Linked DNA regions of Arabidopsis thaliana. The protein of the gene in region 1 purifies or fractionates together with the protein of each later gene. This does not show direct contact. Each region holds a gene or a part of one and is shown in the gene's direction. Other genes may lie near its edges. The genes, in order: FUS9, ATS9 and RPT5A.

What was found.
Region 2: the proteins of FUS9 (region 1) and ATS9 purify together in Arabidopsis thaliana (affinity purification with western blotting, with the first as the bait; one study listed by BioGRID). This does not show direct contact.
Region 3: the proteins of FUS9 (region 1) and RPT5A purify together in Arabidopsis thaliana (affinity purification with western blotting, with the first as the bait; one study listed by BioGRID). This does not show direct contact.

What each region holds. Positions count from the first base shown.
Region 1 is NC_003074.8:4,422,689-4,426,619, reverse strand, and holds FUS9 (Ubiquitin-conjugating enzyme family protein), read left to right. Parts: upstream 1-1,725; 5' UTR 1,726-1,822; coding exon 1,823-2,051; intron 2,052-2,151; coding exon 2,152-2,225; intron 2,226-2,582; coding exon 2,583-2,730; coding exon of another isoform or gene 2,731-2,792; exon of another isoform or gene 2,793-2,953; coding exon 2,954-3,051; 3' UTR 3,052-3,383; downstream 3,384-3,931. Other genes in the region: AT3G13560 (O-Glycosyl hydrolases family 17 protein), read left to right, coding at 1-747, 852-879, 965-1,136. UniProt on the Arabidopsis thaliana protein: Component of light signal transduction machinery. Involved in repression of photomorphogenesis in darkness by participating in the CDD complex, a complex probably required to regulate the activity of ubiquitin conjugating enzymes (E2s).
Region 2 is NC_003070.9:10,178,599-10,183,398, forward strand, and holds ATS9 (non-ATPase subunit 9), read left to right. Parts: upstream 1-1,703; 5' UTR 1,704-1,999; intron 2,000-2,000; exon of another isoform or gene 2,001-2,273; intron 2,274-2,615; 5' UTR 2,616-2,641; coding exon 2,642-3,901; 3' UTR 3,902-4,190; downstream 4,191-4,800. Other genes in the region: AT1G29140 (Pollen Ole e 1 allergen and extensin family protein), read left to right, coding at 431-599, 867-1,213. UniProt on the Arabidopsis thaliana protein: Component of the lid subcomplex of the 26S proteasome, a multiprotein complex involved in the ATP-dependent degradation of ubiquitinated proteins. In the complex, RPN6A is required for proteasome assembly.
Region 3 is NC_003074.8:1,601,718-1,606,883, forward strand, and holds RPT5A (regulatory particle triple-A ATPase 5A), read left to right. Parts: upstream 1-1,641; 5' UTR 1,642-1,822; coding exon 1,823-1,942; intron 1,943-2,292; coding exon 2,293-2,409; intron 2,410-2,510; coding exon 2,511-2,618; intron 2,619-2,723; coding exon 2,724-2,915; intron 2,916-2,994; coding exon 2,995-3,186; intron 3,187-3,364; coding exon 3,365-3,483; intron 3,484-3,570; coding exon 3,571-3,658; intron 3,659-3,752; coding exon 3,753-3,872; intron 3,873-3,958; coding exon 3,959-4,099; intron 4,100-4,198; coding exon 4,199-4,276; 3' UTR 4,277-4,526; downstream 4,527-5,166. Other genes in the region: AT3G05540 (Methionine sulfoxide reductase (MSS4-like) family protein), read right to left, coding at 4,770-4,890, 4,981-5,138. UniProt on the Arabidopsis thaliana protein: The 26S proteasome is involved in the ATP-dependent degradation of ubiquitinated proteins. The regulatory (or ATPase) complex confers ATP dependency and substrate specificity to the 26S complex.

The sequences.
Region 1 (3,931 bases):
CTGGTTCCTTTTTCATGTTAAACGCGTATCCTTACTACGGTTACACAACCGCTAATGGGATTTTCCCGCTTGATTACGCTTTGTTCAAGCAGCTTTCTCCGGTGAAGCAGATTGTTGATCCCAACACGCTTTTACATTACAACAGCATGTTTGATGCTATGGTTGATGCTGCTTACTACTCCATGGAAGCTTTGAATTTCTCCAAGATTCCTGTTGTAGTCACGGAAACAGGCTGGCCTTCGTCTGGTGGAAGCGATGAAGCGGCTGCAACAGTCGCTAATGCGGAGACATTCAACACTAACTTGATCAAGAGAGTGCTGAACAACTCAGGTCCTCCTAGTCAACCAGACATACCGATAAACACTTACATCTACGAGCTGTACAATGAAGACAAGCGGTCAGGACCAGTCTCTGAAAGAAACTGGGGGATTTTGTTTCCAAATGGGACCTCGGTTTACCCTCTGAGTTTGAGTGGTGGCTCTAGCTCCGCAGCTCTAAACGGTTCATCGATGTTCTGCGTGGCTAAAGCAGATGCTGATGATGATAAGTTGGTTGACGGTTTGAATTGGGCGTGTGGTCAAGGCCGAGCTAACTGCGCTGCCATTCAACCGGGCCAACCTTGCTACCTCCCTAACGATGTTAAGAGCCATGCTTCTTTTGCTTTCAATGACTATTACCAGAAGATGAAAAGTGCAGGTGGAACTTGTGACTTTGATGGTACGGCTATCACTACGACTAGAGATCCTAGTAAGTTTTTCTCATTTCCTCTGATCTATGTGTTGCAATAATTCTATGTTTTCAAGTTGTTTCCTCAGAGTAAATCTCAAATTCGATGGCTTGTGTGTTTGCAGGCTATAGAACATGTGCATATACGGGAAGGTAACGATACTAAATTTATGTCTTGTTAAGTTTTGAAAATGAAATCTGCTCCTAACTCTTTGAAATCATTTTCCATTTATCTCAGCTTAAACGCAAACGCTACTAATGGAAACTTTCCTCCGGATGCGTTAGGACCCGCAAGTCCATTGGGAGGAAACGCAAACGCACGTATCATCTTTAGCTACCATCTTCCCATATTGGCACCGTTAGCTCTCACTCTACTACAACTGTTGCTTCAGCATGACCGCCTTTTGTAGAACGTTTGCCAAAAAGCGGTTTTGTAGTAACCGGGGAAGTCTACCTGTGGCTTGGATTGGATTTCTTACGGTTACCGGTAGTTACTGTGTACTTTGTTTTTAGTGTAAGTGTAACTAGAGACTAAAGAGGGCTCACAAGTTCCCATTCTTTTTTTTGTCTTCATCTTTGAACTAAAATATTCGAATTAGAGTGATTTAAATTTCATATTCAAATGAATCAGTGCATTGTAGGAGAGTTTACGTAAATCATGTTATTCATAAAAATTGACAGAGTAAATTTGATTATGTTTAAACAAAAATTAAATTGATTTTGGATAATTTCAATTTTCTTTCCAAAATGTGTGCCTTTTTCAAGAACTTTGAATAATCATTTATCAAATTATTAAGGATTCACGTGGTTATAACATGATCACATTACACAAAAGGACAAGAATATTCGATAATTCAACTTAAATAAATTTGGTTGTCAAAATGATTACAAATTTATTGATAGTGATTAGTGAGAGAAAATAAAAATAAAAAATACATGTTACAAAATTAATCTCCACGTCAGCGATTACTTTATTTGTTTAATTGATCGGACAAAAACGCGGCGTTTCGAAATCTTTTCCCGATGGAGTGCGAGCGAAACGATCAAGTGGTGGATTGGATAAGCAGAGAGTATCGGAAGACGACGACGACGGGAGATGATGACACCTGGCGGAAGCGGGAGGTTGAGACCGTTACCGACGGCGATGTACGCCGGATATTCAGGAACGGCGTCGTCTTGGGTAGCGAAGACTTCAGTTTCTGCGTCAGGGAAGAGGATACAGAGGGAGATGGCTGAGCTTAACATTGATCCACCTCCTGATTGCTCAGCTGGTCCAAAAGGAGATAATCTCTACCATTGGATCGCCACCATCATTGGTCCTTCGGGTTTAATTCTGATACTCTCTTTGAATATTTGTAGATAATCCGATTGAAAATTTGTTAGGTTTTCAAGTCTTTGAATTTGGTGTTTATGGAACTTTTGCAGGAACTCCCTATGAAGGAGGGATCTTTTTCCTGGATATAATTTTCCCATCTGATTATCCATTCAAGCCACCTAAGGTATGATCATGGATTCTTTGGTTAACACATTTTGGGAGCTTTACTGATTTAGCTGGTAATGATTTAAGGTTTAGAAGTTTTGATTTCTAATGATGATCTCTTTAGGAAGAACTATTTAGTGAATATCAATGAGTCTTCAACTGCATCACATTGAAACAGAGATCATCTAGTGTCTCAGACTCTCAGTGTCTAGCATATTATGTAGTTTTATTGCTTTCAACATAGTCTTAGGATACATTTTGTAGCAAATTTCTTGAAGTTTTGGGTCTAGTGATAGTCAAGCTATAGGTACTAATCTAGAGCTTGCACTTTTATTACATCTGTCTTTTTGGTTAAGTTGGTGAGGTTGATTTGCAGTTGGTGTTCAAGACTCGGATTTACCATTGCAATGTTGATACTGCGGGAGATTTAAGTGTGAACATTCTAAGAGATAGTTGGAGTCCAGCCCTTACAATCACTAAAGTCTTACAAGCCATCAGATCTATCTTCTTAAAACCTGAACCCTGTAAGTTTCTATTCTACTCTCAGGCTTCAGATCAGACCATTTCAAGTCCTCTGATGAAATGACCAGCTCATGTCAGATCTACCTAAGAGAACGTTTTTAAAAAAAAGTTTGTGATGAGTTTTGGCCAACAAACATAATAGATGTCCGCATCTAACTACTGTATTTAACTTCCATAGTAAATCTCTATTGTTCTTATTCTTTTTGCTTCTTCTTCATCGACCAGATAGTCCAGCTTTACCGGTGATTGCACGGCTCTACTTGACAGATAGAGAAAAGCATGACGAGGTAGCCAAAGAATGGACATTGCGATTTGCCAAGTGAGATCTTCAATACGAGGAAAAGACAACTGATGTATTATAAATACACCTAGTTCTTTGGTTAGTTAATGGTCATCAATGTACATTCATAAAAGTGGAACCACAATGTTAGATGGCCAAGAAAATTGTTTGCTCAGATAATAGGCAACAATGTGAGGTAGGACCAATCCTCAACAACTCCAATTTATTGAAGGTTATACAATTTAGTGTCAAATCTTTTCGTCAAGGACTCGAAAACCAAAGATCATATATGGTCTGAATATAACTGAGGAATTGTTTCTTTTATAAGAAAACAAGAGCATTTTGTTTTGAAACAAGAATAGTAGGCCATAACTTCTAGAGAAAAGCGATTACAGATGAGATAATTAAACTGAAGAGTATTAGTTGGTACCTAACATGTTCCATAATCTTTATTGATTGATTATCTCCAAAAAGAAAGATCAAACTTTCTATTGAAGACACAAGTGAGACTTGAGAGACCAAATCTACCGGTCAATTCTTTTCGTTCTTTTAACCTAACTCTGTTTAACATAATTATCACAAATGGTCAGTACATATCTATCTACGCATGGTATATATAGAGAATATGTAGAACAGCAGTGTTAAAAAAGAGTAACATATTTTGAGTCTCTGCGACTAATATCTTCATATCGGTACGTTGTAATATTTATCCGTTAATTATACGTGTGTTAGATGTGTTAGTGTATATGCAGATGAATATGTCATTTTATGCATCACATGTATATACTCAATTTGTTTATCTTATTTTTTTATTTAATGTTCCCCTTCGTTGGCATCATATATATTTCTCTTGAAGTTTTGAGTAAAACCTCTAGAGATGTTGGAAGATATATCCAGTATATCGACTATATATAGTATCCAAT
Region 2 (4,800 bases), on another chromosome or scaffold:
CCCCCATTGAATCTTTTTAGTGGAGGTCTAAACATACATAAGATTCTATAGATTGACATTTGGGAAACCATCCTCATACAAAAAAGACCTAAACGGAATCTATGAAGAATTATTAACAGAAAAGAAAAACAGATGGCAATGAGAAAAGATCGGGTTCAAGGAAAACACAGCCGTACAAAACTCAAGAACAAAAACACCAAAAATAAACAAAAAAACTTCCAAAAATAGATATAGAATCACATGGTTTTGTTGTTTTGTCTATTTGTTCTCTATAAAAGGAGATATTTGGTTGGATCTATCATAGCGTCTCCTCTCAACCAAAGCTTACAATTTGTTCTCCCTTAAAAACTAAATTTTACAAATAAACTCTCAAATCCAAGAGAGGAGAAGACCGAAGTAAAAACACAAGAAAAAAAAGGATTAAGGCATAATGGCCAAATTCTTCATTGTCTTCCTTGCCTCTGCCCTATGTTTCACCACCCTCGTTCACTTCACCGCAGCTGATGCCGACGACTTTGACAAATTCCACATCAAGGGCTCCGTCTACTGCGACACATGCCGTGTCCAATTCATCACCCGTATCAGCAAATTTCTCGAGGGTAATTAACCACATTCTCTAATCAAATTCATTTGTTGAGCATACTGTCAATAGCAAAATATATTGGTTGATAAAAAATCGATCCCATTATGGTATATAGGTCAATGGTTAGAATTGTGTAGTAAAAATTCACAAAAATGATTACAAGCATATATAGACGTCTTTTTAACAATGTTAAAATTTTATAAAAATGTGGTTAGTCACATTTCTAAGAGTTAGTGTTGCAAGATTATAAGAAAAACTAATTACGTTATTGTGTGTATATCAGGGGCAAAGGTAAAGCTTGAGTGCAAGGGTCGTGAGAACCAGACAGTGACCCTAACCAAAGAAGCCGTGACCGACAACGCCGGTAACTACCAGATGGAAGTAATGGGTGACCACGAAGAGGAAGTGTGCGAGATCGTCCTCCTCCAATCACCTGACCCAGAGTGTGGAGACGTGAACAACCAAGAATTCCTAAGAAACGCAGCCAGAATCAGTCTCACGGCCAATGATGGCATTGTCTCCAACGAGACTCGAACCATTAACCCACTTGGGTTCATGAGGAAGACTCCTCTCGCTGAATGCCCTCAAGTTTTCAAGGAGCTTGGAATCGTCCCTGACGTCACCTTCTAAGCTTAATATACATATATACACACCCATATACATCGATCTCTCAAAGTCTCAACACTTTCAATTTTTTTGATGACTCTTTTTAATATATAAAACATTTATTTATGTTTTTTATGTGTCTGTCTGAGTTTACTAATTAACCATGTTTTTTTTTCGTTGTTATTGTTTTATTTTTGGGAGTTCTTTTTTACGAATGATTTGATTACCTTCCAATATTTATTTGTTACTTTTCGATTGAACAGATACATGCATGATGTAGTGAAAAACCCTACTCTAAAATAAATTTAAATCATTTACATGCATAGTGAAATTTATGACAGTTTGAGAAAGCTACATATGTAACATATAATGTGAATTATAGTTTGAGGTAAATGACTCAAACTGAAATAAGCAAAAGACAACAAATAAAATCGAACCCTTACCTAAAGAAGGCGGATCAGAGTTTTGTATATATTGGGCCTTTAGTCTGAGCCACTAGGCCTGAATCACAAAACGCGTTTTCACGACAAGCGTTTGCACCAGGATCTTTTGCAGCGTCTGGCGTTGGTTTTCAAACTCTGAATCCGAAACGCTAGATTTTAAGACGCCGAATTTGTTAAGCGTTCTCTATTTCCTGATTTCAGCATCTAAAGACAAATATACCCTTCAAAAAATTGTAAAACTACGAGAAGACTGTCCATTTATCTTTTCTTTCAAGCCAAAAAAAACTCTCGAATCTTCTTCTTCTTATTTCTTCTATACCGTCGTCGAAAAGCTTTACCAAAATCTCACGCCCCCGACGATTCATCGGTAAGTCTTGTTCTTGCGAAATTTCATTAATTCTTCTTCTGGGTTTGCTTATCAGATCTGCTTAATTCTGGGTTTTGGTATGCGTATTGTTTTCGATGTTTTAAAAAACCACATCTGGTTCCTTGTCTCGATAGTTCTAGGGTTTAGCTTTCTTCGATTTAGTTGATCTCAGTGAAGATGGGCCCGAGGATGTTCTAATTCTGATTGAAAGAAGCTGAATACAAAATTAAATAGATCTTAAAAGTATTTGAGTCGAAGAATTCGAACTGAATAAGTTAGTAATTACTGAACTATGTCTCTGTGATTCATCTTATTACTTAAAAATTAGGTTATAGTTTCATAGGCTTTGTAATTCAGTTCCTGTATTACTTATTGTAGCCTCGTTGTATCTTTGTCTTTGATAGATCTCTAGGCTTGTCTTGATCATTAGGTACAGAAGAGTTGATAAATTACAGTGATAAATTACCATCGTGGCTTGTCTTTATCTGATTATCTTGGTAATGTATCGAAGATGGATTTGTTTTTGTAGTGATGTGAAACCTAAAGAGTATCAATAAGCTTGAAAGGAGAAATATTTGAACATTGCATTAACAGGTCTATGGCTTTATTGTTGCAGGGATTTGAGTTTGCACTAAACCCACAATGGTTTCCTATCGTGCTACCACAGAGACGATTTCCCTGGCTTTAGAAGCCAACAGCTCGGAGGCTATTACGATACTGTACCAGGTTTTGGAAGACCCTTCTTCATCTCCTGAGGCTATACGGATCAAGGAGCAAGCGATTACAAACCTTTGTGATCGATTGACTGAAGAGAAGAGAGGTGAGGATCTCCGGAAACTGTTGACCAAGTTGAGGCCTTTCTTTTCCTTAATCCCCAAGGCGAAAACTGCGAAAATCGTCAGAGGAATCATTGATGCTGTGGCAAAGATTCCTGGAACAACTGATCTCCAGATCACTCTCTGCAAAGAGATGGTCGAATGGACCCGCGCTGAGAAGCGTACTTTCCTCAGGCAGCGAGTAGAGGCTAGGCTTGCAGCTCTTTTGATGGAGAACAAGGAGTATGTTGAAGCTTTGGCGTTGTTGAGTACTTTGGTAAAAGAGGTTAGGAGATTAGATGATAAGCTCCTTCTGGTCGACATAGACTTGCTGGAGAGCAAACTTCACTTCTCATTGAGAAACTTACCCAAGGCAAAAGCTGCACTCACTGCAGCTAGGACAGCTGCTAACGCTATATATGTCCCACCAGCTCAACAAGGCACGATAGATCTGCAGAGTGGGATTCTTCATGCTGAAGAGAAAGACTACAAAACCGGATACAGTTACTTCTTTGAAGCCTTTGAGTCCTTCAACGCTCTCGGAGATCCGAGAGCGGTTTTCAGTTTGAAGTACATGTTACTGTGCAAGATCATGGTTAGCCAAGCTGATGATGTTGCAGGAATAATCTCCTCAAAGGCTGGACTACAGTACGTTGGCCCTGACCTGGATGCCATGAAAGCAGTCGCTGATGCTCACTCGAAGAGGTCCTTGAAGTTGTTTGAGAACGCACTCCGTGACTACAAAGCACAGCTTGAAGATGACCCAATTGTCCACAGGCATCTCTCTTCTCTCTATGACACGCTTCTGGAGCAAAATCTGTGTCGTTTGATCGAGCCCTTCTCAAGAGTTGAGATAGCTCACATTGCTGAGCTCATTGGATTGCCGCTCGACCATGTGGAAAAGAAGCTATCTCAGATGATACTCGACAAGAAATTTGCAGGTACCTTGGATCAAGGAGCTGGATGCCTCATCATCTTCGAAGACCCAAAGGCAGATGCTATCTACTCGGCTACCCTCGAAACCATTGCAAACATGGGGAAGGTCGTCGACAGCCTTTATGTCCGGTCTGCCAAAATCATGTCCTGAGAGAGTGAGTGAGTTGGTCGTATGAATCTCATTCTATCGTTCTTTCTTTCTGGTTTTAGATATCGTTTGGACTCAAAGAAACTGATGTTTCTCAATGGAGAAAGTAAACTTGTCTGAATTGTTCACATTACTCGTTTTGCTTATGATCTTATTATGTCATGGTTTCTTACCTTTTATTAGTGCTTAAAATGTAGTTTGTTTTCATCTGGTTGTTGCAGTTTCTTTTTCTTAGCCTCGCAAGTCAACATTGTGTTCTCTTTTTCCAAAACCTTTAATCTTTACCTCATCCAAATCTCATTGATTTTTCTATCTCCGCATTTATAAATTCTGACCAACCCAGAACTCAATTCACAGGACCCACCATTTCTTTTCTCAACTCAGGACATGACTTGCACACAAGCAAGTCTTGATTTTGTTCTCTTCTTCTGTCATATTCTTTTATGTGCTGCTTCATCACAGTAGCTTTTCTAGTTAGCTTCGTGATTATTGATGAAGTAAACAAATTCTGTTAAAACGTTTATTTTAAATGTTAACACTAAAATGTGACATACTACAGTCATCCACAAAAATGTTGATAAGGCATATATTTTCACAAATCATAATATTTCGTTAAGATTTAAGACATTTTTTTGGCTGTTTGAAAAGGTTATTTATCATTAGTGGTTTACTGGTCTTTTATTGGAAGGACAAACATTTAGAGTGTTCCAATATTTGTTCAATTTCTTCTTCATAAACAGTAAAAACCTTATTCTAGTTATGTAGGTATCCCATTATTGTGTGATTGTCAGTTTATAGCTGAAAAGTGAAAACTTAAATGTCCAATTGAATGAGGTTTCTTCTTGGTTGAAAGATTAACTAGACTAATGTCCATAATCTTTAACTAACTTTACGTACACTTA
Region 3 (5,166 bases), 2.8 Mb from region 1:
TTTTAATTTGTTAAGACGATGCTGATATATCCTGAATCATGATTAAATTAAAATCCTTAAGTTAAAGTCATTACAAAAACCACTTTTGAATATTGATCAGATATTGGTCCCATGCCCAAAACGATGGTGCAAAATGTCTAAAGAGTGATAAGCTAGCAATTACTAGATATATACTAAAAGAAATAGTTTCAGTTCCAAGCATGAGCACTAGTCATAGTTGAGGCTCACAAATTTCTTGCAAATCATCTTCGAGTTTTCCACGTCCAGAGATGGTCTCCTTCCTCCTGATACACACACAAACAACTAAGTATCTTCCATCGTCTAAAAATAAACAAAAGCATACGTAATTACCCATTTCCTCCACCTTCTTATTTATAATCAAGTTGAACAATTTTCAAATCATCCAAGACACAATCATTTATTAAATATTGATATATGCAATGACAAAATATCCAAAAGTATTGACTTCAATGACATTCAATTTTTGCTATTTTTTTATTTTTTTGTACGAATAGTCTTCAGATCTTTTTCAGTTGATGTCAATCCAAACTTTAATCATGAGTCTATCACAATATTGTTGAAGTACATAAAACAAGGAATTGATTTATTTATAATCGAGTTAGGAAAATTTTAAACTACAAACATAACATAGTTACACAGAATTGTATCAAAATATCATTATTGTTGTTATATGTATTCATTTAGTGAAAAAATATTAAAATCTTATAAATAATTAGCTTTATAGACAAAATATATAAATTGATATTTCAAATCACAAATGAATCTAACCATAAAAATTATCACTACATATTATGGATCTAATTTTATTAATAATACAAAAATAAACAAATAATAAATATAAATTAGCATAAAGAACAATCAATGTAATTTTTTTTTAACAATTTTTAAAACAAACCCACGCGTAGCGTGGGTAGTCATCTAATACAAATATAATTTTACCTGATTTCATAATCGCATATTGCTGACTTTGGACGTCTTCAGTGATCACTTTCATCCTCCTGCTTTTTCGCCTCAGATCTAGCCGAATGATACTGCACAATAAATGTGATCCCTATGGGAATCACTACTCTTGAAATTGCATACATCCCGCCAACTCCCGTGAACGTCATCGTTTTGCTATATGAAGATGGCTCCACTATCACAACCAATGCTGACTTAGCTACAAAAAAAGCTTGTTTAATGCTACTACTTTTCTGTTGTTGATTATTGTTTTTTTTAGATTCCGAGGCATTACTTGTCATTTATGATTGAGTTTTGAGCATATATATGTTTACTTAACGCTCGAATATATGACAAGAATTTGTAAAGGTTTATGATGTTTTAATGAATTTTGGTTTTCTTTTAAATTTCGGATGAGAGACATAAATAAAACAGCATTTCTAATAAAGTTTGTTTTTTTGGAAGAAATCTTTCTGTTGCAGTTCTTGTGATTAAGGTTCTTGCAATTTCAAGAGTAGATTTAGACATTCATAATTGGAATGTAAATCTGAAAGCTATAGTCAGGGGGGTTTAAATTGTCTTATATTGAGTTAGTTCGAGAGAATGTGGAAGACTCTAACTCGTTCAGAGGTTTTCCCCTATGCATTTCTTTGAAGACAAGTTTTCCTAAGAAAACTCTTTTTTATTTTTAATAGCTAATATAATTTACTTTTTTCTTTTTGGTTATTTATTTTCTCTCGTCTTCTCTCCTTATTGGTTTTTTTTCTCTCATAGTCGCTCTCCCTCTCCTCTCCCTTTGAGAAATCCCTAACTCTTTGCTCTTCTCTTCCCGGCGATCTATCTCTCCGATTTGGGTATTGAAATGGCAACTCCTATGGTTGAAGATACGTCAAGCTTCGAAGAGGATCAGCTTGCTTCCATGTCCACCGAAGATATCACTAGAGCTACTCGTCTTCTCGACAACGAGATTCGAATTCTCAAGGTTTGCCCTATATCTCTCTCGATCTCCTTTGCCTTTATATCGTTCTCCATGATTGTATCTTCTTAAATTGGTTTCATCAATCGCTTTAATTCCAGTAAGGTCAGGCTCGAATCTGGTTTCGATTTTTCGCGATTACGGGTTTAGGGTTTGAGTTTCGTGTAATCCGTGGAAGCAGGAGATGAACTAGACCTTTAATTTTATGACCCTTCTTGTGATTTCTTCGTGTGTTTTCAAAGTTTGGATTTTTCAACTCAACTGAGATTGATTGAATTGAAAAGCTACGTCTTTCTTGTTGCAAATTGGATATGTTGAAATTGCTCATCTTGTGTTTTTCTTTGATGGGGATTTAGGAAGACGCGCAAAGAACAAATCTAGAATGTGATTCTTACAAGGAGAAGATTAAGGAGAATCAGGAGAAGATTAAACTCAACAAGCAGCTGCCTTACTTGGTTGGCAACATTGTCGAGGTATTCAACTAGTTTTCTTATCTTATTTTTGGTATTTTCCTACAGAGTCTTACCTATTTGATTTGAATTCTAACTGTTGTGTTACCATATCATGCTATTAGATTTTGGAGATGAATCCAGAAGATGATGCTGAGGAAGATGGTGCAAATATTGATCTTGACTCGCAACGGAAAGGAAAATGTGTTGTGTTGAAAACGTCTACACGGCAGGTGAGACTTCCAAACCCATTCTTTAGATATGTTTTCTACATCTTCTCTTCCGTTTCCCGTTTCATGTCTGAGCAAATACTTTTGTTTTCGTTATGTGGACTGCAGACCATCTTTCTACCAGTTGTTGGACTCGTGGATCCTGATAGTTTGAAACCTGGTGACTTGGTTGGAGTTAACAAAGATAGCTACTTGATTTTGGATACCTTGCCATCCGAGTATGACTCTAGGGTTAAAGCCATGGAGGTCGATGAAAAACCAACTGAAGATTACAATGACATTGGAGGACTAGAGAAGCAGGTATGTTTATACCATTGTGTTAATCTGCTGTATTGACTTTGCTTCGTAGTGAAACTAATTGAGTTTATTTCTGGAACAGATCCAAGAGCTTGTAGAGGCAATTGTGCTTCCCATGACGCACAAGGAACGTTTTGAGAAGCTGGGTGTTCGTCCACCAAAGGGAGTGCTCTTGTATGGTCCCCCAGGGACTGGTAAAACTTTAATGGCTCGTGCCTGCGCAGCACAGACCAATGCCACCTTCCTTAAATTGGCAGGCCCTCAATTGGTCCAGGTATATATATATATATATATATATATATATATGAGTATCAGATTCAATTCTCATCTCTTAGAACTCTTTACCCTGTCTGGATATAAGATTTTAGTGTTCTGGCAACAATAATTACATGTGACGAGCTATAATGATACTTGATTGTAATGACATGATGACATATCCAATTTATATACAGATGTTCATTGGAGACGGAGCAAAGCTTGTCCGTGATGCCTTTCAACTTGCCAAAGAGAAAGCTCCGTGCATTATCTTCATAGATGAAATCGATGCCATTGGTACAAAGCGTTTCGACAGGTACAAATCTTTTTCTGATTCCAATTCATGTATTTCTGCACTTTCTCAGCTATTTGCTCAAATCACATTCTTTGGTTGAGAGTACAGTGAAGTCAGCGGAGACAGGGAAGTGCAGAGGACTATGTTGGAGTTGCTCAATCAACTTGACGGATTCAGTAGCGATGAACGTATTAAGGTGAGTGTCTTTATCCATTCTAAGGACTAATCATACTGGTCTTAAAAATCGTTCTCAAAGAAACAGTAACAACCATACCTTTCTATTTTTTCAGGTGATTGCAGCTACTAACCGTGCAGATATTCTGGACCCAGCACTCATGCGTTCTGGTCGATTAGACAGAAAGATTGAGTTCCCACACCCAACCGAAGAAGCGAGAGCAAGAATCTTGCAGGTTTGTCTCTCCCATTTTTCAAACATGACCCTTGGTGATAAGTAAAAGGCTCTCATAACACAACTAACCCAACTGAATGAATCCAGATTCACTCAAGGAAGATGAATGTCCACCCAGACGTCAACTTTGAGGAGCTTGCACGATCAACAGATGATTTCAATGGAGCTCAGCTGAAAGCAGTGTGTGTAGAGGCAGGCATGTTAGCTCTTCGCCGTGATGCCACAGAGGTAAAAAAGACAGAACTCTTAATGATTTGAGCTTTATGATTGTGTAGTTTGGTCTGTTTTTTAAGGTGGGGTTCTCTGTTGTTGTGTTTGTGTGTTCAGGTGAACCATGAAGACTTCAATGAAGGTATCATCCAAGTCCAGGCCAAGAAGAAAGCAAGCTTGAACTACTACGCCTGATCTCTCTCTCTCATCATTTATTTTTATCAATGCCGTTTATCTTTCAACTAGTTTTACTTGTACCCTCATTCCGATTTGGATCTTTTTAAGTTTTCGAATCAGGATCATCTATTATATCAAAATACATTTAATTGTGTTCATCTTCTTCTGAAAACAAGTTTGGAAATTTAGAAATCTTAGTATCTCTATAGTATTGGTTCATGGTATATAGACCTATTCTAAAATTATGTTTTCTTTCAGAAATTTTTAAGAGAATTCACTTATCAATCTCTAATATTTTGTATATATCATAGTATTTTGAACGTATATCAAGTGAATTTTTAAAACTAATCAGGCCTTTTTCGTTGCACTAATCCTTTCAAGCTCTCAATTTAAGGAAATTGCATAAAAGTTAACTTCACTTGAAATAGAAAAATCTCTCAAGATTAACCAAAAGTACTAACAAAAAGTAAAACTCCAAAATAAAAAAATAAAATCTGTAGCTTTGAAGTATTCAGCACTTGATCTCTTTCAAGCCGTAGGCCAAGTAGAGAAAAGTAGGATCAGTGGCTCCTTCTCTGTAGTAAGCAAACACTAAGCTCCCTTCTTCTCCTTCCATGCTCTCTCCCACGAAGCTGTCACATTCGTTGAAAATAATTCACCAATTAGACAAAATTAACTTCAAAAAAAAAATAGAAGAAAGAAGATAAAAGAGAAGAGCTTACAATTGGAAGTCTTTGAGCTTTGACATCAAGAATTTGGTGGCACTCTCAATGTGTTTCTTGAACAGCTCTTGGTTTTCTGAGTCCAACTTAGGGCTTAGTTGCTTGATGTATCTTTTCATAAACATCACAAATTGTTTCTTGTCAAACGATGGTTGCTCCTGCCAGAACATCGCATATAAATACCCA